3 linked regions of the Saccharomyces cerevisiae S288C genome follow. The protein of the gene in region 2 purifies or fractionates together with the protein of the main gene of each other region. This does not show direct contact. Each region holds a gene or a part of one and is shown on either strand. Other genes may lie near its edges. The genes, in order: SEC26, GLO3 and SEC21.

Region 1 (8,060 bases), on a different chromosome or scaffold from region 2:
TAATAAGCCATCAAATGTATTGAATTCTTCCAATCGTCATTCCGGGCCAAAAACTTTTGAGGACGGAAGGTATAGTGAAGGTAATAAACCGGGTTTTATGACGCAGGATGAAATCAAACAACATTGCATTGGTACCATAAAAGCTTCTATGGATGCAGTGAAAAAGAAGTCTTCGTATCAGATTCTAAAGACATACGTTAGGTGTCCAAGACAAAATTATATTGATATTGTTTATCAAAATCTAAATGATCTACGATCAAAGACAAATTGTAATATCGTCGTATTGAATCTGAATAATCTTCACGAGTCACAAATGTGGCTTGAATCTTTAAATACAACAAATTACACTATTTTTGCTCAGGCGCCTCACCCAAGTACCATCCGCGTTATTAGTATTGGTGGAGTCGGTGAATATATAGTCAAAGCATTAGAGCTGATATTGAATATATTAGAACATTGAGTCGCATATAACAGTGGAGGTGTATAGATATATTTAAAAAACCTTTTGGTTATTTTTTCTCTTTCATGGCATTTGCTCCGTATGCAAAGCGATAGTTTAATTTAATGTTTTCTTTCAAATGTCATCGCGGATTCAAAGAGCGCACTATTATTATTTGGCAAAAGTTTAAGAGGGAAAATGTTGAAATAGCATGTTCTGCAAAGCGAATTACAGGTTTTGAAGGAGTCTACAGGTAAAGTCTAATAATACAGTGATGTTTGATGGCTTTAGCAACAATAAAGGTAAACGAAGGTCTTTTTTTCGGTTTGGTTCTGAAAGTAAAAACAATGACTCTGAAAAATCCGTTAGAAAGCCATCGGTGCCCTCTACAATAAAGAAATCAACAAATATCGCACGAACTTCGACGGCTGAAACTTCTGCCCCTGATATACCGCCAAGAAGTCCAAATAGGAATGCTCATAGCAGGAGCCATTCTATCCAGGCACCATTACAAAAGGAAACATTAAAGAATACTAATCCATTTTTGAATGCTGAGGATACCTTAGGAGATTCTCTTGAATTAACACAGTCCAAGGAAGCGTCAGGAAACGATCACAAAGGAATTGAATATTTACAAGAAAACAACATCATTGGGCAGAGAACCAACCCCTTCACAACAAGCGCAAATTCAAATGCACATTTCTCCAAGATAAAACGTTCGAGGCCTCCACCACCGCCTATGGACATGAAGTCAATAACAACGTCAATAAGCAACAATACTACTAAGGAAGAAATAGAGAGTAATAATGATTCTGAGCGGGATAGTATTGCAATCTCATCCACCCACAATCAACATAGGCGGCAGCGTTCAGAAGCAGAAAAGTTGGTAGATGATATTGAAAATTACATTAATGAACACAAGGTAAGTTCCGGTAGCTCACTATCCCTAGACACGTCTGAAAACTCAGATACTAAAGCATCGCAAGATAAGTTGCCAGTAGATGTCATGGAAGCTCCCATTTTGAGAAATGTCAGCGCGGAGAGTTCCTTAAGCTACGTAAAACCACTTATTGTGGATAATGAAGAAGTAAATAAAGCAAGTAACGGAAATTTAGTACAATCAGATCATCTAAAAGAATTTTCTTCGAATCTGGATGATGGGGATGATAAATTTTCCTTTAGTACATCGGCTAGTGGTAAATCCACCAAAAGCCTTCAGCAAGTTTCTAAAGACGAATCTAGTGGTTTTAAAGCTGCACATTTTGATTTTGCATATAAATCAAATGAGCACCTTGGGAGTGATGGAAGTATTGCAAGCGCCAGAAAGCCTCTGCGGATAACTAATGAGATTGATAGCGGTTCTTCCAACGAGGATGATGATGATGGTCTTCAGGAAAAAGGTTTTGTGGATAGTGAAAGTAAAGCATTTATAAATTACGCAAGTGATCAAGGCTCATCTATAAAAAATGACGTCTCAACACAAGAGCCTGAGTTACCAAGTCATCGTAGAATATTTAGGGTGGTTAATGAAGATCGCCCTAGTTTCTATTTAAATAGTGTAAACGATACGGGCAGTCTAACCGACAAGCATTCTTTTGACACTGCATCATCTGGTGAGTATGATGCCAAGTCAAACTTCTCTAGCCAGTCAGGACTTTCTATATCAAAAGGCTCTAAATCAACTGTTTTGGCTGCTCTTGACTCAAACGGAAACACAAAATCATCAAATAAAACATCCGAGTTAAACAGTTTAAACTCCATTTCAGAAAGTTTAGTGCCGGCTGCTCACTCGTTCAATGAACACACAGTTACTATCCCTGCAACGGTGGATTTACCAAATCCGGTACATGATGCCCCAAGCGAAAGATCTGTCAAATGTTCACCGTTAACATCTGTCGTATCGAACAAATCGGAAAAGTCCGTGCCTTTGGTTTCTAGTTACGTAGAAGAACTGCGACTAAAGTATTACAAGACTTCTAACTTTTTACAAGCGCCTCCTAACTTGCCGGTTGCTCTAAAACAAAAAAATAATTTGATTCAACCCAAGAATATTAAGGTCAAGTTGAGGACAAGTTCTAAGCAAATTGGTATCAAGCATGGTAAAGTTAAACAGAAATTACTGGCGTTGGAGACAAGAAATGAAGAATCAGATGGAACCGCTACAGGGCTGAAAAATAAAATCAATGTTGACCACACAAAGGAATTCCATAAATTGTTAGGGAAGGAAAATGAAACTGGCTCTATTTCAAAAAAAGAAGGCACTGACGCAGAACAAGCCGAAGACTACCTCAAGGACATACCCGGTGATGAAGCATATAACAGTGATGATATAATGGCGCCTTTACGAGAAAAAAGAGGGCAAAACGGTTCTGTTGATTCCGTGTCAAGATCTAACACGGTAGTCAGCTACTACACAAGGTCTCAGAACAGAATGAGAAGTGGAACACTGGATAATGATTACGTGAACAGACAAAAGCTTCCTACACATATCTCTCTTCAAGATTATCGTGATGCTAATGCTAGAAGTAATATATCGCGTCAGGACTCTGTCTCCACAACGAACTCTGATGTGGTAGACCTCAGCTATTCTCTGGGGCATGGCTTGCGTGTGGCAAACCCTGATTCAGACCCAGAATGATATCCTTCTCTGTAGTTTTGTAGATGTCATATATGTACGTTTATGGAACAGCATTTTAGAAAAGTATTACCCAGCTTATCACTTCGTTTTTTTTTTCTTTCCGTGTACTCGCTACACGTAGAAAGAAATCAGAAAACAACAGCTCGACAAGTGAAATTTGACGTTCATTAAGACTCAGTTAAGATTGCCTTGAGAATAAACAAAAGTAATCACAGTTAACTATTGAACAAGAGTGCACCTATGACTTCACTTTCTTCACAGCCAGCGTACACGTTGGTTTTCGATCCTTCTCCGAGTATGGAGACTTACTCGAGTACCGATTTTCAGAAAGCTCTTGAAAAGGGATCTGATGAACAAAAAATTGACACGATGAAATCAATTTTAGTTACAATGCTGGAAGGAAATCCAATGCCTGAATTGTTGATGCACATAATAAGATTTGTCATGCCTTCTAAAAATAAGGAATTAAAAAAGCTTTTGTACTTCTACTGGGAAATTGTTCCCAAACTAGCTGAAGATGGAAAATTGAGACATGAAATGATTCTTGTCTGTAATGCCATTCAACACGATTTGCAACATCCTAATGAATATATTAGAGGTAACACATTAAGGTTTTTAACGAAATTGAGAGAGGCCGAACTCTTAGAACAGATGGTTCCCTCTGTCTTAGCGTGCTTGGAATACCGTCATGCATATGTTCGTAAGTATGCAATCCTAGCAGTTTTCTCCATTTTCAAGGTCAGCGAACATTTACTTCCCGATGCTAAAGAAATCATCAATTCGTTCATAGTAGCTGAAACTGATCCAATATGTAAAAGAAATGCATTTATTGGGTTAGCTGAATTAGATCGTGAAAATGCCTTACACTATTTAGAGAACAATATTGCTGATATAGAAAACCTAGACCCTTTATTACAAGCTGTCTTTGTTCAATTTATCAGACAAGATGCAAACAGGACCCCTGCTTTGAAAGCCCAATATATCGAATTATTGATGGAACTGCTTTCGACCACGACTTCCGATGAAGTCATCTTCGAGACCGCATTAGCCCTAACTGTGTTGTCTGCCAATCCAAATGTCTTGGTTCCTGCGGTTAACAAATTGATTGACTTGGCCGTCAAGGTTTCTGATAATAACATTAAGTTAATTGTTCTAGACCGTATTCAAGACATCAATGCTAATAACGTAGGTGCTTTGGAAGAGTTAACCCTGGATATTTTGAGAGTCTTGAATGCAGAAGATTTAGACGTTCGTTCAAAGGCGCTTGATATTTCAATGGACTTGGCCACATCCAGAAATGCTGAAGATGTTGTTCAGCTTTTGAAGAAAGAGCTGCAAACAACCGTAAATAACCCAGATCAAGACAAGGCAATGCAGTACAGACAATTGTTAATAAAAACTATTCGTACCGTGGCTGTAAACTTTGTAGAAATGGCAGCAAGTGTTGTTTCGCTATTATTAGATTTCATCGGTGATTTAAACTCGGTTGCCGCCAGTGGTATCATTGCCTTTATCAAAGAAGTGATCGAAAAATACCCACAACTTAGAGCCAATATCCTTGAAAACATGGTTCAAACGCTAGACAAAGTGAGATCTGCTAAAGCTTACCGCGGTGCATTATGGATTATGGGTGAGTATGCTGAAGGAGAAAGTGAGATACAACATTGTTGGAAGCACATTCGTAACAGCGTAGGTGAAGTTCCTATCCTTCAATCAGAAATCAAAAAGTTAACACAAAACCAAGAACACACCGAAGAAAATGAGGTTGACGCTACCGCCAAGCCAACTGGTCCAGTTATTCTACCAGACGGTACGTATGCCACTGAAAGCGCTTTCGATGTGAAGACTTCTCAAAAGTCAGTTACCGATGAAGAACGTGATTCTAGACCTCCAATTCGCCGGTTTGTTTTAAGTGGTGATTTCTACACAGCTGCCATTCTGGCCAACACCATCATTAAACTTGTTTTAAAATTCGAAAACGTTTCCAAGAACAAAACTGTCATCAATGCTCTAAAGGCGGAAGCTTTACTAATTTTAGTTAGTATTGTAAGAGTGGGTCAAAGCTCTTTGGTGGAGAAAAAAATTGATGAAGATTCTTTAGAGAGAGTTATGACATCTATTTCTATTTTATTGGATGAAGTTAATCCTGAGGAAAAGAAGGAAGAAGTTAAACTTCTGGAGGTTGCATTCCTGGACACCACCAAATCCTCATTCAAGAGACAAATTGAAATTGCAAAGAAGAACAAGCATAAGAGAGCATTAAAAGACAGTTGCAAAAACATCGAACCAATTGATACGCCGATTTCTTTCAGGCAATTTGCTGGTGTGGATTCTACTAATGTGCAAAAAGATAGTATTGAAGAAGATTTACAACTGGCAATGAAAGGAGATGCAATCCACGCTACTAGCAGCTCTAGTATTTCGAAGCTGAAGAAGATAGTACCTTTATGTGGCTTTTCTGATCCAGTTTACGCCGAGGCTTGTATTACAAACAATCAATTTGACGTCGTATTAGATGTTCTTCTTGTTAATCAAACGAAAGAAACATTGAAAAACCTACATGTGCAATTTGCAACTCTTGGTGATTTGAAGATTATTGACACACCACAGAAGACCAACGTGATTCCTCATGGCTTCCACAAATTCACTGTTACTGTCAAAGTTTCCTCTGCTGACACAGGTGTCATTTTCGGTAATATTATTTATGATGGTGCGCATGGTGAAGATGCTCGTTATGTTATTTTAAACGACGTTCATGTTGACATTATGGATTATATCAAACCAGCCACTGCTGACGATGAACATTTCCGTACCATGTGGAATGCATTTGAGTGGGAGAACAAAATATCGGTCAAATCACAACTACCAACATTGCATGCTTATTTGAGAGAACTGGTCAAGGGAACTAATATGGGTATTCTAACACCATCAGAGTCGTTGGGAGAAGATGATTGTAGGTTCTTAAGTTGTAATCTGTATGCGAAGTCGTCCTTTGGTGAAGATGCCCTAGCCAACTTGTGTATCGAAAAGGATTCCAAAACCAATGATGTCATAGGTTATGTTCGTATCCGATCAAAGGGACAAGGTTTGGCTCTGTCCCTAGGTGACAGAGTGGCATTGATTGCTAAGAAGACCAATAAACTTGCTCTCACTCATGTTTGAACCACCCTGAGCTGATGCAATGTAAGTTATAATGTCAAAGGAGATAAGAATAAAACTTAAAAAATTCGAAAAGAAATAAAAAAATAAGGAAAATCTTTAAATAGATTTTAATTGCGTAGGAATCTTTGTTCTCATTTTTAAACAAGTATTCACTTTTATGTACATTTTCTTTCCTAAAAATCTTTATACAGAGTTGAGTTGTGAGTTGTGTAAGAGACGTCCAATTTTATAACAATTTGTAGACATCTCAGTGCCCCAAAGAGAACTATATGATTGAAAAATGGAGAGAGATAGTATCTTGTACAGTTTATATATTTACATGACGAATGGGAAATTATATATGCCCTTTGCCTTTCTGCCATAGAGCATGGCTAACTGGCCAGGACCATGAGATTGTATTCTTATTTCTCCTCTCCGAAAAATGGGAACTGGAACCCACTCAACAAAGTTCTCGCCTGGTAATCTAATTGAGCTGAGGTGTTTATATTTATGTGCATACCAAAAGTTTTAGGCCATGAGTCCTGGTTTGCATCGATTTCAGGGAAGAATTTGATATCTTCAGCCGTCAGGCCGAAACTAATCCCACCAAATCTGTTCCCAGACTGGTTGCTTATACCTTTATATTCTCTGATTCTTGGTAGGACGATTTCGGTCAATGTGCTTAAGAACTGAGACATTTCTTTTCCCTTTAGTTCGACTTTAGCTCCCATCTGATGACCTTTTCTCAGTTTCCAGGTTGGAACATCATTTTTGGAAAAAATTGGATGAGGTTTACATCCAGTAATTTGTTGTAATTGTAACGCAGCGGTGATAGCCAATAGCTGATTTTCTCTCGCTTCCCTAACAAAACAGTTTATTACAACACTTTCTAGCCCAGGAATGTTACTCCATTTGATAGGATGAATGTCAGGTAGTTGAGCTTTCGAACCTCGAGGATTTTTCGGTGGTCTGTTCAAGTGGTATGGCGAATCACCACTCCACGCTCTTTGTTTTAGACCCTTTACCACCGCAGCGTTATGTGAATAATTAATCAATAACAAATCAGATTGTAAAGTGTTAAGGTAATGGTCATTGAGTCTATCTGCATGAGTGTCTTTTGGTTTAAATCCAGGTGACCTAATATCACTTTTGTCATATTTCAATTCTGGAAATCTAGGGGATAACTTTGACTTATCAATTTTCACCAAGTGATGAACTGGTTTGACCAAAGAGCATGCAGATTTGGGCTTCACACAGGAGTGAGAGAATGATCTGTGAGTGACTAGTGAAAACCTTTGCATTTTGTTCGTGAATCTCGAGCCCTCTTCAAAGTGGTACAACTAAAAAAACAAAGGAGAGTATTTACACTATTTCCGGTCCTGTCTATTACTTTACAGATACCTCCCCAAATTAGTTATAAAATTCTAAACAGATGCTTTTCCTGTCTTTTTATTCTTCTGTTTTCGAAAGGCCCTTCGTAGATGATAGGTGATTTTGTCGTGTTCGCTTTTACCGTAAAGCGAATAAAGTAGTAGATGGGTAAAACTTGATGCGAAAATAGACAGTTTGCAAACAGCACAAAAGGAGCTCCGAAACAGCCTTTCTTCTTTTTCTAAATAGGTTATTAATGAAGAGTATGGGTAAGTCATTAAGGATTCACATTATGCAATCTTTCCCAGGGTCGGCACACCCACTTTCTAAAGAATCCGCACGCTTATGTTAGTTGGCAACGAATCACACTCAAGAGGTTTTACAATGAATACTGATCATGTGAAACATGATTAAGTTACTCTAATAGAGAATTGAATATCTTGATCACACTGCACTTCAGATGTTGCAATT
Region 2 (6,765 bases):
TCCTTTCTATGGTTATTGAGCTGTGAAACTAACCCGTCGTTCGACCATTGTTGTTCTATATACTTCTAGTTGCTGTATAGATAAGCTCTCCGATCCCCTAAACGTGCGTGGTGATCTTACTCTTTCGCCCTCGCTTTTTTTTTTTCGCTTGTTGTTTTCGCAAGGTGAATAGAATGGTTTTAGTAGCAAAGTGCATTGTTTATTGTGTGGTGTGGTTTGACGCACATTCTGTGTTAATAGTGTAGCAGAAGGGTATTCTACAATCTCCGCGAACCTAAGTATGTCTGCTGTTGAAATTTCCCCTGACGTGTTGGTGTATAAGTCTCCATTAACGGAGCAATCGACAGAATACGCTAGTATTTCCAACAATTCAGACCAAACCATTGCATTTAAGGTCAAGACCACAGCCCCAAAGTTTTACTGCGTGAGACCAAACGCCGCAGTTGTTGCTCCAGGTGAAACAATCCAGGTTCAAGTTATCTTCCTGGGTTTGACTGAAGAGCCTGCCGCAGACTTTAAGTGCCGTGACAAGTTCCTGGTTATCACGTTGCCTTCTCCTTACGACCTCAATGGCAAGGCTGTTGCAGATGTTTGGTCCGACTTGGAGGCTGAGTTCAAGCAACAGGCTATCTCTAAAAAGATAAAAGTCAAATATTTGATAAGTCCAGATGTACACCCAGCACAGAACCAAAATATACAGGAAAACAAGGAAACTGTTGAACCAGTAGTCCAAGACAGTGAGCCAAAGGAAGTGCCTGCTGTGGTAAACGAAAAGGAGGTCCCTGCTGAACCGGAAACTCAACCTCCCGTCCAAGTAAAGAAAGAAGAGGTCCCACCTGTCGTTCAGAAAACCGTTCCTCATGAAAATGAGAAGCAAACGTCCAACAGCACTCCGGCCCCACAGAACCAGATAAAGGAAGCCGCAACCGTACCTGCAGAAAATGAATCATCCAGCATGGGTATATTCATATTGGTTGCACTCCTTATCTTGGTTTTAGGATGGTTCTACAGATAATAGGGAGATTGAGGATATAGCTGTATTCTAAATATATATTTATATATGTGTGTGTTTTGCCCTTTCCTTCCTTTCAGTCTTTATTTTACTTTGTTTTTCTACAATCTTTTTTTATTGTTTCCTTCTGTAGCCTTTACAATACTAGAACAAGGAACTAAAAGATCATACTTTCCTAACTTTTTTATATGTTTTATTTTTTAAATAGGAGAATAATCGATAACTATACCACTGTTGTAACATATTACTTGTTTAATTTATTCATGTTCGGTTTCCCTAGTGTAGTAGGCGCTATCTTGGGCAAATAACTATCCGTTATTAACCATAACAATGCGGGGTCTACTAAATGAGGGGAGGGTCTTGGATGCACATTAACGAAGATCTTGCGAGGGGGTCGCGCCTAAAAGGTCCATAAATAAATGAATACATAAACAGCCACCTACTTTCAGTTTGTTTTTTGCTAGGTCTCATAGTGAACGAGGGACTCACATATTGACAATATAGTAACATGGGCTTATCGCGCTGGCACGACAAGAATTCAAGGCCAGCAGAGGAAAAGAGCGAAGAAATGCAACAGGATGCGCACTACTACGCCCTTGCGGCAAGTGATAGTTTAAATGCAAGTGTTTCTAACGAATATGGTAATCAAGTAATGAACTCGTTTTGGAAAGTGGGTATAGACTCTCCCTATGTGGACGATGAAGCAATTAGAAACAGAGATGTCGAAAATAACTTACCTTCTTTAAAGCAAAGTGTTTATAATGCTAATGAACCAAATGCTACCTCGTCTGCATTTTCAACCGCTTCATACGCACATGAAACTTTCGATTTTAGAAACCTTAAACTAAGATAAGGGGGGATGAAGAATAAGAATAAACGCACGTACAATGCATATACAACCGTTTCTATGTACCATAAATATAATTATCATATAATGAAAAATGAGAATAAAAAACAATGATAACAATGAAAAAAAAAAAATTCAATTAAAGAGAAAATTAAACTTATTTTCTTAAGTAGTCCCTTAAATAACTACCGAGTTTTTCAGCACCCTGTTCTACAACGTCTCTCAACATCTGCAATTCATCATCTGCGGAGGCATTAAAATCGATGAAACCGTTATTAGAATTACGGCCATCAAAATTCCCTGCTCCACTTCCACTACTATTGATGGGATTACCAAATTCATCCACTTCTTTATCTTCTCCAAAGTATGAAGAAGAGGAAATTGATGTAGCATTGTCAAATGTTTTCAACTTGTCATGCGCTTCCCTGTTTGCTGCTTCATCAAATGAGCCACGACCAAATAATTGATCAGATGATATAGCTTTTTGTGTGCCGTACCTTTCCGCGATTCTGCCCGTATATCTTGGTCCCTGAGCTATTTTCTGAGATTCTTTTTGTTGCTTTGCCAAATCATTGGCGTCATTCATGGTCATACCAAATCCCAATTTGGCAAACTTGGGTGTTAAAGTATCTTGCTGTTCTTTTCTAGTTGTGTCGAAGCTGTTTGAAGTGTCATTTAAAAAATCATTGAATTCATCAGGCTGGGTATTAATATCATCTATACTGTTATTATTGTTGCCTTTACTGTTATTCATAAATTGGGAATCGTAATCATTTTGTCTAATTTTGGTGCTAGAAGACGAATTAGTGAACTCGTCCTCCTTTTCTTGTTGAGCCTCTTTTTTAAATTGATCAAACAAGTCTTCTGCCTGTGATTTGTCGACTTTCTTTGCGGTTAGTCTAGTGGGCTTTCTTGACGAAGACAAAATTGAATGTTTCTTTTTATCTTGCGAGTTTAATACCGGTTTCTTTCTGCTAGCCGTTAAGATGGAACTTCTCGTTTTAGTGACAGTGGTCTTGGGTGTGCTGCCTGTGGTGTTGTTTTTTGGGGCGAGAGAGCCTGTATTTACATTGAGTTTAGAACTGGAATTGGAGCTTGGTTTTTGCCAATTAGAGAAAAAATCGTCAACACTATTTTCTTTGGAAGTCGACCTGGAAGCGTCTGAATCGGTGTCCAACGGTGAGTCCGAAGAATCTTGACCGTTCAAGACTAATTCTGATGGGTATAACTCCATATCCTTTTGAACCTTCTTGTCGAGATGTATCTTATATTTCTTAGCAACAGGGCTCGTATATTTTGTTTTCGCGTCAACATTTGCTGTATTTAGTAGCTGTTTCCCATTGTTCTTTAAGAAAAAATCACGAGCCTTATGGTTCCCACCCAACTTAAACCTTCTTAAATTGTTAATTGTCCATTTATCTAATGTAGAAGACTTTACAAAGGTGATATGAACACCCATGTTTCTATGCACAGCAGAGCATTGAATACACAGCATCACACCAAAAGGTACCGAAGTCCAAGTAGGATTCTTGTTACCACAATCAAAACAAACTCGATTTTCCATGTTGCTACCTAGCTTCTGAAAAACTTGTTGAGTAGTCTGTTCCGTGGCAAATGTTTCTCCTTCATCGTTACTCATTGTCGCTATGTGTATACTAAATTGCTCAAGAAGACCGGATCAACAAGTACTTAACAAATACCCTTTCTTTGCTATCGCCTTGATCTCCTTTTATAAAATGCCAGCTAAATCGTGTTTACGAAGAATAGTTGTTTTCTTTTTTTTTTTTTTTTTTCGAAACTTTACCGTGTCGTCGAAAATGACCAAACGATGTTACTTTTCCTTTTGTGTCATAGATAATACCAATATTGAAAGTAAAATTTTAAACATTCTATAGGTGAATTGAAAAGGGCAGCTTAGAGAGTAACAGGGGAACAGCATTCGTAACATCTAGGTACTGGTATTATTTGCTGTTTTTTAAAAAAGAAGGAAATCCGTTTTGCAAGAATTGTCTGCTATTTAAGGGTATACGTGCTACGGTCCACTAATCAAAAGTGGTATCTCATTCTGAAGAAAAAGTGTAAAAGGACGATAAGGAAAGATGTCCCAACGATCTTCACAACACATTGTAGGTATTCATTATGCTGTAGGACCTAAGATTGGCGAAGGGTCTTTCGGAGTAATATTTGAGGGAGAGAACATTCTTCATTCTTGTCAAGCGCAGACCGGTAGCAAGAGGGACTCTAGTATAATAATGGCGAACGAGCCAGTCGCAATTAAATTCGAACCGCGACATTCGGACGCACCCCAGTTGCGTGACGAATTTAGAGCCTATAGGATATTGAATGGCTGCGTTGGAATTCCCCATGCTTATTATTTTGGTCAAGAAGGTATGCACAACATCTTGATTATCGATTTACTAGGGCCATCATTGGAAGATCTCTTTGAGTGGTGTGGTAGAAAATTTTCAGTGAAAACAACCTGTATGGTTGCCAAGCAAATGATTGATAGAGTTAGAGCAATTCATGATCACGACTTAATCTATCGCGATATTAAACCCGATAACTTTTTAATTTCTCAATATCAAAGAATTTCACCTGAAGGAAAAGTCATTAAATCATGTGCCTCCTCTTCTAATAATGATCCCAATTTAATATACATGGTTGACTTTGGTATGGCAAAACAATATAGAGATCCAAGAACGAAACAACATATACCATACCGTGAACGAAAATCATTGAGCGGTACCGCCAGATATATGTCTATTAATACTCATTTTGGAAGAGAACAGTCACGTAGGGATGATTTAGAATCGCTAGGTCACGTTTTTTTTTATTTCTTGAGGGGATCCTTGCCATGGCAAGGTTTGAAAGCACCAAACAACAAACTGAAGTATGAAAAGATTGGTATGACTAAACAGAAATTGAATCCTGATGATCTTTTATTGAATAATGCTATTCCTTATCAGTTTGCCACATATTTAAAATATGCACGTTCCTTGAAGTTCGACGAAGATCCGGATTATGACTATTTAATCTCGTTAATGGATGACGCTTTGAGATTAAACGACTTAAAGGATGATGGACACTATGACTGGATGGATTTGAATGGTGGTAAAGGCTGGAATATCAAGATTAATAGAAGAGCTAACTTGCATGGTTACGGAAATCCAAATCCAAGAGTCAATGGCAATACTGCAAGAAACAATGTGAATACGAATTCAAAGACACGAAATACAACGCCAGTTGCGACACCTAAGCAACAAGCTCAAAACAGTTATAACAAGGACAATTCGAAATCCAGAATTTCTTCGAACCCGCAGAGCTTTACTAAACAACAACACGTCTTGAAAAAAATCGAACCCAATAGTAAATATATTCCTGAAACACATTCAAATCTTCAACGGCCAATTAAAAGTCAAAGTCAAACGTACGACTCCATCAGTCATACACAAAATTCACCATTTGTACCATATTCAAGTTCTAAAGCTAACCCTAAAAGAAGTAATAATGAGCACAACTTACCAAACCACTACACAAACCTTGCAAATAAGAATATCAATTATCAAAGTCAACGAAATTACGAACAAGAAAATGATGCTTATTCTGATGACGAGAATGATACATTTTGTTCTAAAATATACAAATATTGTTGTTGCTGTTTTTGTTGCTGTTGATAAAGCGATTTTTATACTTTTCTCTTTTTCCTTTTTTTTTTTGATTGGCTGTTTCCTTATGCCGCTCTTTCCCAATTTATGACTTTCCAATAATGTATTATTTTGTTTCTCTTTCTCTCTGTTACCCTTTATTTTATCATCTACAATAATTGAATTCCGGAGAGGGTAAAGAAACAGGAAAAAGAAGAAAATGAGACATAGTCAGCATCGTAATCGTTTTCCTTCTGTATATTCCTTTATCAAAAGACTACACGCACATATATATTAATCCCGGTATGTTTTTGGTGTGCTAAATCTATCTTCAAGCACTATTATAGCATTTTTTTAAGAATATCCAAAATAATATGTAATTTATGATTAATCAAGGTTCAAGAATTGGAGAAACCGTGAGCGACTTCTTTGATACTTGGATGTAAGCTTTTATTTAGTTGCTTTTTCGTTTTCTTTTATTTACGCCCTTGTTTTGCGTGTATACTTTACTTTTCTAATTCACTTGAGAGCGGGACTATATATAAAAAAATGCACAATTACAAACTTGAGAATGAATGCATATCGTGAAGATTTTGATATTAAATTAAGAAGCCAAAAAAACGTAGGCAACCATAACAAATTTCGGCATTGAACTTGATTCTAAATGCTACATACAATTACGCGCGCTGTTTTGATATACACACACATATATATATATATACATTGTGTAAGAAAAATTCAAAGCTTAGTAAAACATACAGATCATGGAGAAAAAAAAAAAACCGAATACTTGTGTTACCAGAAGGATCCACTGACTGGACTTGGGTCACAATTTGAATTTTATTGATTTTCACCTTCATCAAGGAGGATGGTCGTTAGTAATAAAGGGCATTCTGAGTGACAGACAAAGAAATTATCTTCAAAGAAATGTTACTTTGATTCATTGATATGTTATTTGTTTTTATTTGAAAGCACTCAAGGAAACTAGACAACAGTAGTATCAATAGTAGATCCACTTAAATGCACATCATTTACAGAATACATCCTCTTTGTGAAGACGATATCCTCTTGGTCATCATTCAATCTACCTTCGCTAACAGTATTTGCTGAAGAACAATCCCAATTACCAGAATTTGAGAACATATCATCAGATGTTTCTGTCATACTATGGTCACTCTCATTGGATAATGATAACATAGAAGAATCAGATATTCCACTCTTCCCAGTACCATTACCATCGATTATTTTACCGGTATCGACAT
Region 3 (8,130 bases), on a different chromosome or scaffold from region 2:
CAGCTTCAGTATTGTCTGAGCTTCTCGTTTAACATTCCTTCTGCAATAGGTGCAATCACACTTAAACGTATACGAGGTGTACATTAATATACGATGTAAGCATTAGATTGTTACCATAGCAACACATGTCACTATTAATTACTCTCGTTCCAACATTATCGGAAGAGGTTTGGTTTATTCCAACAATTAGAATCGCAGTAGTGATTACCCTTTTAAGTAATCGCTGTGTTTCGGTGGTGATATAGTCGCCATCACTTATTACCTCGTCATTACAGTTACACCATCCAACACATGGGCGGTTAGTGTAGTGGTTATCATCCCACCCTTCCAAGGTGGGGACACGGGTTCGATTCTCGTACCGCTCAAATTTTTTGATGGCATTGCTTGCATTTTCAAGTATTATATCGACATTTATTTTGTACTGGGAAGTCATAAAGCCCTAATCCATTCTGTTTATTACATTGTGTTCACTTATTTTACTTAAGTACCAAAGATATGGGGGTAATACATTTTTTTACTGCAGTTCTATATAAGGTCATCTTCCACTTCGCTGTCCTCATTCTTGTCACTTGTGCTTGAAGTGTTCTCATCTCCAGAAATGAAAGCAAGCAACTTTTGCCCATCAAAATAACGTCCGGTCATGATTTTGCAACATTGCAATGCAACTTTATTGTTCTTAAAGACGACCGTCGCTTCCCCCTTATTGGGAGATACAGATATACTGTCTACTTGACCTATCTCTTCACAGCCTTCCAAAAGATCTTCCTGAATATCATTTATATCATCATTTGTGTATGATTTGTAAATATTGAATACGTTGGCAAATATCACCGTTCGATCAGCTTTTGCTAGGCTTTCATCGTCATTGTAATCTATTACTTCCCCCTCCCCTTCAGACTTCGCTTTTTTTAGCCTCTTTATTGGAGGCTCAGGTCCGTTGAACTCCTTTAAATCATTTTCTTTCCCGTGCATATTGTCACCTTCCTTGTTTTGAAATTGGGCTCTTTCGACCCTGATCTGTTTTCCCAGGAAGATCGACTCGTTCATCATTTCGATTGCTAATGTAACACTTTCTTCCTTGGAATAAGTGATCAAGGCATCCCCTTTGAAAGCGCCTTTATCATTCACATATAGCTTGCAAAGGGGTTCCCCATCTCGATTGGTTCTTATCATTCCATACTTGCAAAACTGCTCAGTGAGTCCTTCTTTCGTTGTTTTGTCTGTGGGAAGACCAGAAATATATATTGAAGTATTTTTTGAGGCATTATTATATTCAAGCTCTCTTTTCTGAAGATTACTCTCTTTTAACTGTTTCCTTCTAAGCAATTCTTCTTTTTTCAATTTTTTCAAATGACCTTTCAATTCCAATTCATCAGCATCCATCGCTGTCAAACAGTAATGTTGGTAACGGAATACAGTGAAAAGTGTAGTGCGTTCAAGGGTCTGCAGCCTTTTACAATATGCCTGGTCAGACTAGTGCTTTTTTTTTGTTTTTTTTCTTCTTCTTCTTTCATCAATTGCATAATGTCAACTTTTTTCTGCCCTGTTGTCCTGTTTCTTCCATTTCGTTTTCTCTTGTCAAACTATTATAGTATTTTTCTTTAAAAATTTTGTTTATACAAAGATTACATAATTTATTCTTCGTGTGGTGATGATCCGTCATATTCTATCCGTGATTTTTTTGGTTTATTATTGTTCTTGCTGTTCATTCCCTTATTTGCATGCACGCTTGCTAAAGCTGACGCATTTCTTTTAATACTATTGATAACAAAAGAAGGGATTAACTGAAATAAAATTTCACAGCTTACTGCATTAGACCATTCACCAGATCAGAGCATAATAAGCTGTCTTCACCTTTACCATGAACTTTCAAAGCAAGACCTTTCGAACTCTTGATCATCTTAATCTGTAGGGCTACTTTAGATCCAGTTAAAGCACTCTTACCAAATAATTTCAAGGTGTGGGAGTTTGAATCACTTGGAGCAAATTGGGTACTTTCCACCGGTAAGCAGCTACTGTTCAAAATAATCTTATCTACTACTTCTTGTATGGATAAATCTTCTTGAATGTTGAAAACAGCAACTTCTTCGCATGGCAACTCATCAAATGTAGCGGAGAAGTTACCAGTGAAAGAACTCTTAACATAATCACCAGCATTCAAGAAAATCGAGTCAATTTCATATTCATCTTGGAAACCTTCATCACCATCAAATGGCTCATTAGTGTCAGGGTTTATTTCTTTTGTAGTGAATGTTAAGTTGTTCAAGAAACCTTCCATTACAATTTCATCAAGTTTTTTGAATGCAACGTAACAAGCTGCTTCCTCGGATGGTAATAATCTGTCCACTTGTAGGGTGAATAGCTCTTCTAATTCAGCTTCATCAGAAATTTCAGGGGTACAGACTACAGAAACATTGTCTAGGGCAATATCCGTCAGAGTATTCGTAATATTAAATTGTAAAACAACATTGTCTTTGAAGAGATGTTTGACACCACGTACAACGAATTCTGCTTCTGGCTCAGTTAATGAGATAGCCCTAGAACTATTTACTAATTGACCAAATGGTTTAATTTGTTCAATGGATAGCAATTCGTCAGCGTACTTAGTAGCTAGTAGATCTTCTTGGTGGTCGTCCAAGTTTGGACCAGCAAATGAATTAGCGTCAGCTCTTTTTTCTGGAACACTCTCTGCCTCTGGTGTAGTATCCAAAGTGGTTTCAGACTTTTGATTGAAAATTTGTTCTTGCTTTCTCTTCAGATTTATTGCCTTCATTTCATCCTCAGTAAACTTACGAACTTGATTCACATCAAATGCAGTTGCAAATGAATCAGTATTTGAGGAAATGTAAGAACTTAATTTTGACTCTAATGATGGAATATCGTAAAAATATTTGGATTCGATTAGATTTTGTGCTATAACATCATCTTTATTCCTAGCCGAATCAATGAATTCTAGTGCAATGGTGGCTCTGTCTCTGACTTCATCGTCTTTATCATTAGCGATTCTCTTTAACAAACTTATGATTGACTCATATAAGGTAGGATCGTTCTTCGTCAAAGCAAACTTAGATAAAGCTACAACGGCAGCAGATCTAATAATAGAATTTTCCAACACCACTCTGTTATAAATATGTCTAACATATAATGATGGATTTGGGGCAGATGGACCTTCTTTACCCAAAAGATGTAGTATTCTCACTAGTATTTCGTTGAATTCACAATCCTCGATGAAATCACACAAGTTTTCTAAGGCGAGTTCTTTAGACTGTGGAACAAATGAAACAATATCGATTAATGCTTCGACAATACTGTTTTTAAATTTGAATCCACCTTCACTATTTTTCAAAACATCGATTAAGAAGTTCAAAATTGACTTCCATTCCTGTGGGAAGTTCAAAGACAACGTACGAACGGCGTCAATAATAATGATCTTAAAGTCATCACTGACATCATGGATAAAATTAGTAATAGTCGAAATCAGAGATGAAATATTTTTGGAAGTTCCTGTCTTCAATAAAGTGGTGATTGCATAAGTAGAAATGTTTCTATTAGAATCATTAATTAAAGATTCTAGTTCAGGATTACAAACAACAATCTTTTCTGGTGAAACCATGGATATTCTATTTAAGATTCTCAATGCAGCGAATCTAGAAGAAACACGAGGAACGGTCAGTAAGGACTGTAAAGCACTGATAGCTGCCGCATATAACTCGGGAGCCACTAAGCGGGAATTGCGAGTAGCGAAAGAAGTAATCAATTTCGCCGTTTCCAACTGAACAGATTCGAACTTGTTGGATAGCCAATCAGACAAAAGTGGCCTGAATTGACTAAATAATTGAGGATCCCTATAAATCAAATCGTTGACAATCTTGACCAATTCTACCTTGGCCAATTGATTTTTCATAGAATTGTTTTCAGAGAAATGTCTAACCAATTTTAGTAACGCCATTTTATCAGTTTTCTTCAGTTGATAAAGCAACCCAAGAGCATGATATTGAGAAATATAAGTGGAGTTTGGATAATATTCGCTATTACCGTGTTGATTTGGAAATTGTTTCAAATCCAAAACAGCTTCTTGAGTTTCATTGGTGAATCTTCTGATAGTGACTTCTGAAATGGGCAGCAAATGATAAGAAGTACATAATGCTGCTGAGGATATTGAAGGATGTCTACTTACCACGGCACTTTTTAATAACCTTTCAGCGGAAAAAGCAGTAGATTCATCCAAGACATAAGTCAGCGATCTAATAGCGTCAGGCTTAATCAAATCGGAACCGTTTTGAACGTCCTTCATGATTGAAGAGGTTGCCATCAACACATCCTCCGAAATGCCACTCAATTCCTTGATTGCCAAATAAACAGCCTGCCTTAAAGGATCGTTCTGGTGTTGAAATAATTTGGAGATAGAGAAAAATAATGCAGTTGCTTCATTCTGTGGGAAGGTTTCGCCCTGGGCCAAGAGTCTCAGCAAGCGAGAAATCAATAAACGACATCTCTTGGAATTGACAGGTGATTCGTTAAACGTGTTCATACAATCCTGATAAATGGTCATTTTATCAGGTAAATCGCCCGAGGTCGAGTTTTCAAACTTTTTGTAAGTATGTGCAGACATGTTGATTCGCTCTGTGATTTAGTATCGCTTCTTGGCTTTTGTCCTATCCGTATTTGTTTAGTTATTTTGTATTATACGTCGTTCTGTAATGTTTGCGGGCTCACCTGGATGAAGCTAAGAACAAAAAAACGGGTTTAGCAGAATAACTGAAGAAGTACGTTGGTAATGAGCACACACAATTCCTCCCTTGCACTTATTTGTAAAGAATTGTGTTCTCAACAATGCAACTCGTATCCAAAAAAACGCCTATGTATATTTCATTGATCTTGACGAAACCTTTAGATTTCGAAAAAAATAGAATCGTGGTTCGTGGCGTCGTAGTGAATGACACAAGGGGTACATTCCGGGTGATAGGATGAAAAATGGGTAATAGTAATAGTACAGAAGAACCTTCTGGCACTTAACTTAAACCATTCTGAAATATGAGTGGACTTTATACATTTCATGCATATAAATATAACTATACAAAATTAGGAGAGGTGAGGAAGTGAAACTAAAACAAAAAGGCAAGGTTAAAACAATACAGGAAAATAGAAAGAGAAAAACAGTAATATATCTATGGGGATGCATCATGAGGTTTCTTCGTTTAATGTCAGTAGCAATTGTGCCAGACATCTCTTGGACCCGACGTCGTCTCTTAGTACTTCCGTAAAAGTGTTATCTCTCAGTTTGGCAGGTAAGACTATTTTCAATAGCCTGCGTGCTTCGAGATCGTCGCTTAATCTTAAGTAGCATCTAATGATATGTTTCAGTAGTCGTCCCGGTGGTGTGCTCACGGTCAAGTGCTCAACCATATCTTTTAAGACATTAGTTACGGCGTAGAACCTTTCCAAGGTGGCACAGATGTATTGCAATCCAACGTCATCTAGTAGGATTTTCTGTAAAATGAAAATGGCGACTGTCTTGGAAAGCTCAGAAGAAGATTCCATGATCCTTAGGCATAACGGCACGATATCGGTTCTTAGCAAAAACGTTATTACGTCTTGTGAGTCATTTTTGACCAATGCGCCTATCACACCTAATGAAGTCAATCTCAAGTACTCAAAAGTTCTTTGCCTGGAGGTAGTATTTAGGAAGGGGAAAAGAAAGAGAGGAATATGGGCCTGTAAAAAGAGATGTTTTGTCTCTGGGTGAGATGCAACACACTGTAGAAGAACTAGAGCGTTGCATACACGATTTGATAGATTGTTAGAGAGCATCTGAGGTTGCAGCATGGGATATACGGAAATGATTTCGTTCAGCAATGAGGTCATTACACCAAAGGAAGACCAAAGCACAACGGCAAGGTCATCAAACTGTTCTCTTTTGCGACCTAATTCAAGCAGTGCTTGTTCCTTTTGAGGGCCGTAGGTCAATTGACAAATCCAGTGGTATACATTGGGATCATCTAGAGCATGCACTGCGCCTCTATTATTGACCATGTTGGGATTGTTTCGAGTTGCGTTAGCATCGTTACCGCCGTTATTGCCGTTATTGCCGTTGTTCTCGCCATTTTCATTGCTATTATTATTATTCGGAGTATTGCCCATTAGCATGGGGCCTCCACTTGGAATTTGTTGATTCATGCCTGGACCCATTGAAGTTGGAACCCCAGGCATGGACATAGATCCTGGATTATTAGTTGAAGGACCACCACCACCCATGTTCACGCCTGCTCCATTGCCATATATTGGCTTTTGAGCGGAAAACATATTAACTTATTCAGAGGATGTTCAGTTGCTGTCGTTGTTGCTTCAGGAACAAAGTTTAATCTCGTCAAGATCAGCAGAAACACACACACTCGCAAATTTGTCAAAACTTGGGAGTTTTAAAAGATGAACGGTTTCTAACTTGCGTACTCTACGTCTTTGCAATCCCTTTACAATGTCTTCTATGCGTAAATTACTTTAAATTTGGATTTTGCCTCTTGCTGCTCGCAGCAAAATTCTCAGCATGTTGAGGTGTGTGGGTGGAGTTTTTCCTCTCCTGCTAGTAATACTTATGCAAGAATCTACGTCTAATGAGGTGCTCACGTTTTGCAATGATGATATAAATAGGGACAGTAATCTAATATAGACAAGTGGGCGTAATAGGGTTTTCTTCTCTCTCTTATGCATTCTGTAAGCATCTCGCTTTATGTGAGGAATAGTAGTAAAAGCGTATGATACAGGGAAATAGTAGTACTTTTACAATAGTATTGCTACTTGCATTCCCAAAAACATTCAATAAATGCACTTGGTTTCGAGCGTCTTTTGTTTATTTTTAAGTTTTGTTTGTTTTTTTTATTGTTTTGCTTCGTAGTTTCAATTTTAAACATTAATGTGTGCAAAAACTATAAGACAATGGTATACGCAAGAAAAACTATAAGTAGCATATTTAGTCTACTCCGAGCCATATCGGAAAGAACAATGTCGCGTCTTGCAAAGGCTGTTAATACATAGAATAGGCCACTCCAGGCATGTAAATACATGATTGATTGGATGAGCAACACTGAAATGGACCAGTGGCAACCTAACAGGATTTCTGATCTATTTCACGCCCAGAAAAAAGGCGTACATTCTATAATCTACTTAACAGACCTATACAAGCACTGTCCTACATATTTCAAAAGATTTAATTTACATATCGATTCCGTTCAACGTAAACAGTTTGCTCATAATACAGTCACAGATGTGAGAGAAAAAAAAAAAAGAAAATAAAGGAAAATGGATCAGAAATTTGGGTATACTTAATGCTTCATAGGACACCTGAGTACTTGTGGCATCCATGTTCAGACTGGTGCACAGCTTTTTTCTCGTCATTTACCATTTTTCCTTGAATTCATGTTTAATTTTCATCTTCGTCATGTGTTAAGGTACTATTACGAAACAAAATGTTAACGCCTTTGATAAACTTATCAAAGTTACGAGACCGGTTCGCACTACGATACTTTGCTATTGCTTCATTTTTTCTATCATATGTAAAACATAAACCACTGAGAGAAAACTTCTGCATTTAAATCAAATATGTCCGCCTTTTATACTTTAAGAAGAAAAAATTTATCTTTTTTCTTCCTCATATTGCAGGTATCACCCGAATGGAAGTTATAACGGCACAATCACTTAGGGCTTAACATACAATAACAAATACCATTTTTAATGTTGTGTTCAGTTGATTGTTATTATTATTAGGTATCCTTGATTATTTAAATTTATAATATATTATGTATCCGTTAATTATGCTCTATTAAAAATCTTTCTCCCACTAAGAGCCCCGTAAGGGCCATCTTGTTTACCACATTAAAACCCATGTTGACTCATGATCTGTTCCAGATCCCAACTTTGCCTGTTGACATTGTCGTTCCATTTCTCTACCGTCCTGACGTAATTCGTGTTAGCGACTGTGTTGTTCGCTATGTTGGTTACATCTTTTAGCCTTCTTAGATCATTACAACTGTCGACTAGAGTAGCAGAACTTAAATCGGATGCTATCGACACGTTTCTCTGTTTTTCGTAGAGTTTGAATCTGTTGTTTGATCTGATAGGACTCGTGCCAGCACA

What was found.
Region 1: the proteins of GLO3 (region 2) and SEC26 purify together in Saccharomyces cerevisiae (affinity purification with mass spectrometry; 4 studies listed by BioGRID). This does not show direct contact.
Region 3: the proteins of GLO3 (region 2) and SEC21 purify together in Saccharomyces cerevisiae (affinity purification with mass spectrometry; 5 studies listed by BioGRID, with this or other methods). This does not show direct contact.

What each region holds. Positions count from the first base shown.
Region 1 is NC_001136.10:936,074-944,133, reverse strand, and holds SEC26 (coatomer subunit beta), read left to right. Parts: upstream 1-3,317; coding exon 3,318-6,239; downstream 6,240-8,060. Other genes in the region: SNU56 (Snu56p), read left to right, coding at 1-460; YDR239C (uncharacterized protein), read left to right, coding at 714-3,077; mitochondrial 54S ribosomal protein uL5m MRPL7, read right to left, coding at 6,641-7,519. UniProt on the Saccharomyces cerevisiae protein: The coatomer is a cytosolic protein complex that binds to dilysine motifs and reversibly associates with Golgi non-clathrin-coated vesicles, which further mediate biosynthetic protein transport from the ER, via the Golgi up to the trans Golgi network.
Region 2 is NC_001137.3:400,855-407,619, forward strand, and holds GLO3 (ADP-ribosylation factor GTPase-activating protein), read right to left. Parts: upstream 3,499-6,765; coding exon 2,017-3,498; downstream 1-2,016. Other genes in the region: phosphatidylinositol-binding protein SCS2, read left to right, coding at 281-1,015; YER121W (uncharacterized protein), read left to right, coding at 1,521-1,865; casein kinase YCK3, read left to right, coding at 3,959-5,533; DSE1 (Dse1p), read right to left, coding at 6,488-6,765. UniProt on the Saccharomyces cerevisiae protein: GTPase-activating protein for the ADP ribosylation factor (ARF) family. Involved in retrograde vesicular transport from the Golgi to the endoplasmic reticulum.
Region 3 is NC_001146.8:88,476-96,605, reverse strand, and holds SEC21 (coatomer subunit gamma), read right to left. Parts: upstream 4,613-8,130; coding exon 1,805-4,612; downstream 1-1,804. Other genes in the region: U2 snRNP complex subunit CUS2, read right to left, coding at 526-1,383; CCR4-NOT core subunit CAF40, read right to left, coding at 5,182-6,303; PCL1 (Pcl1p), read right to left, coding at 7,870-8,130. UniProt on the Saccharomyces cerevisiae protein: The coatomer is a cytosolic protein complex that binds to dilysine motifs and reversibly associates with Golgi non-clathrin-coated vesicles, which further mediate biosynthetic protein transport from the ER, via the Golgi up to the trans Golgi network.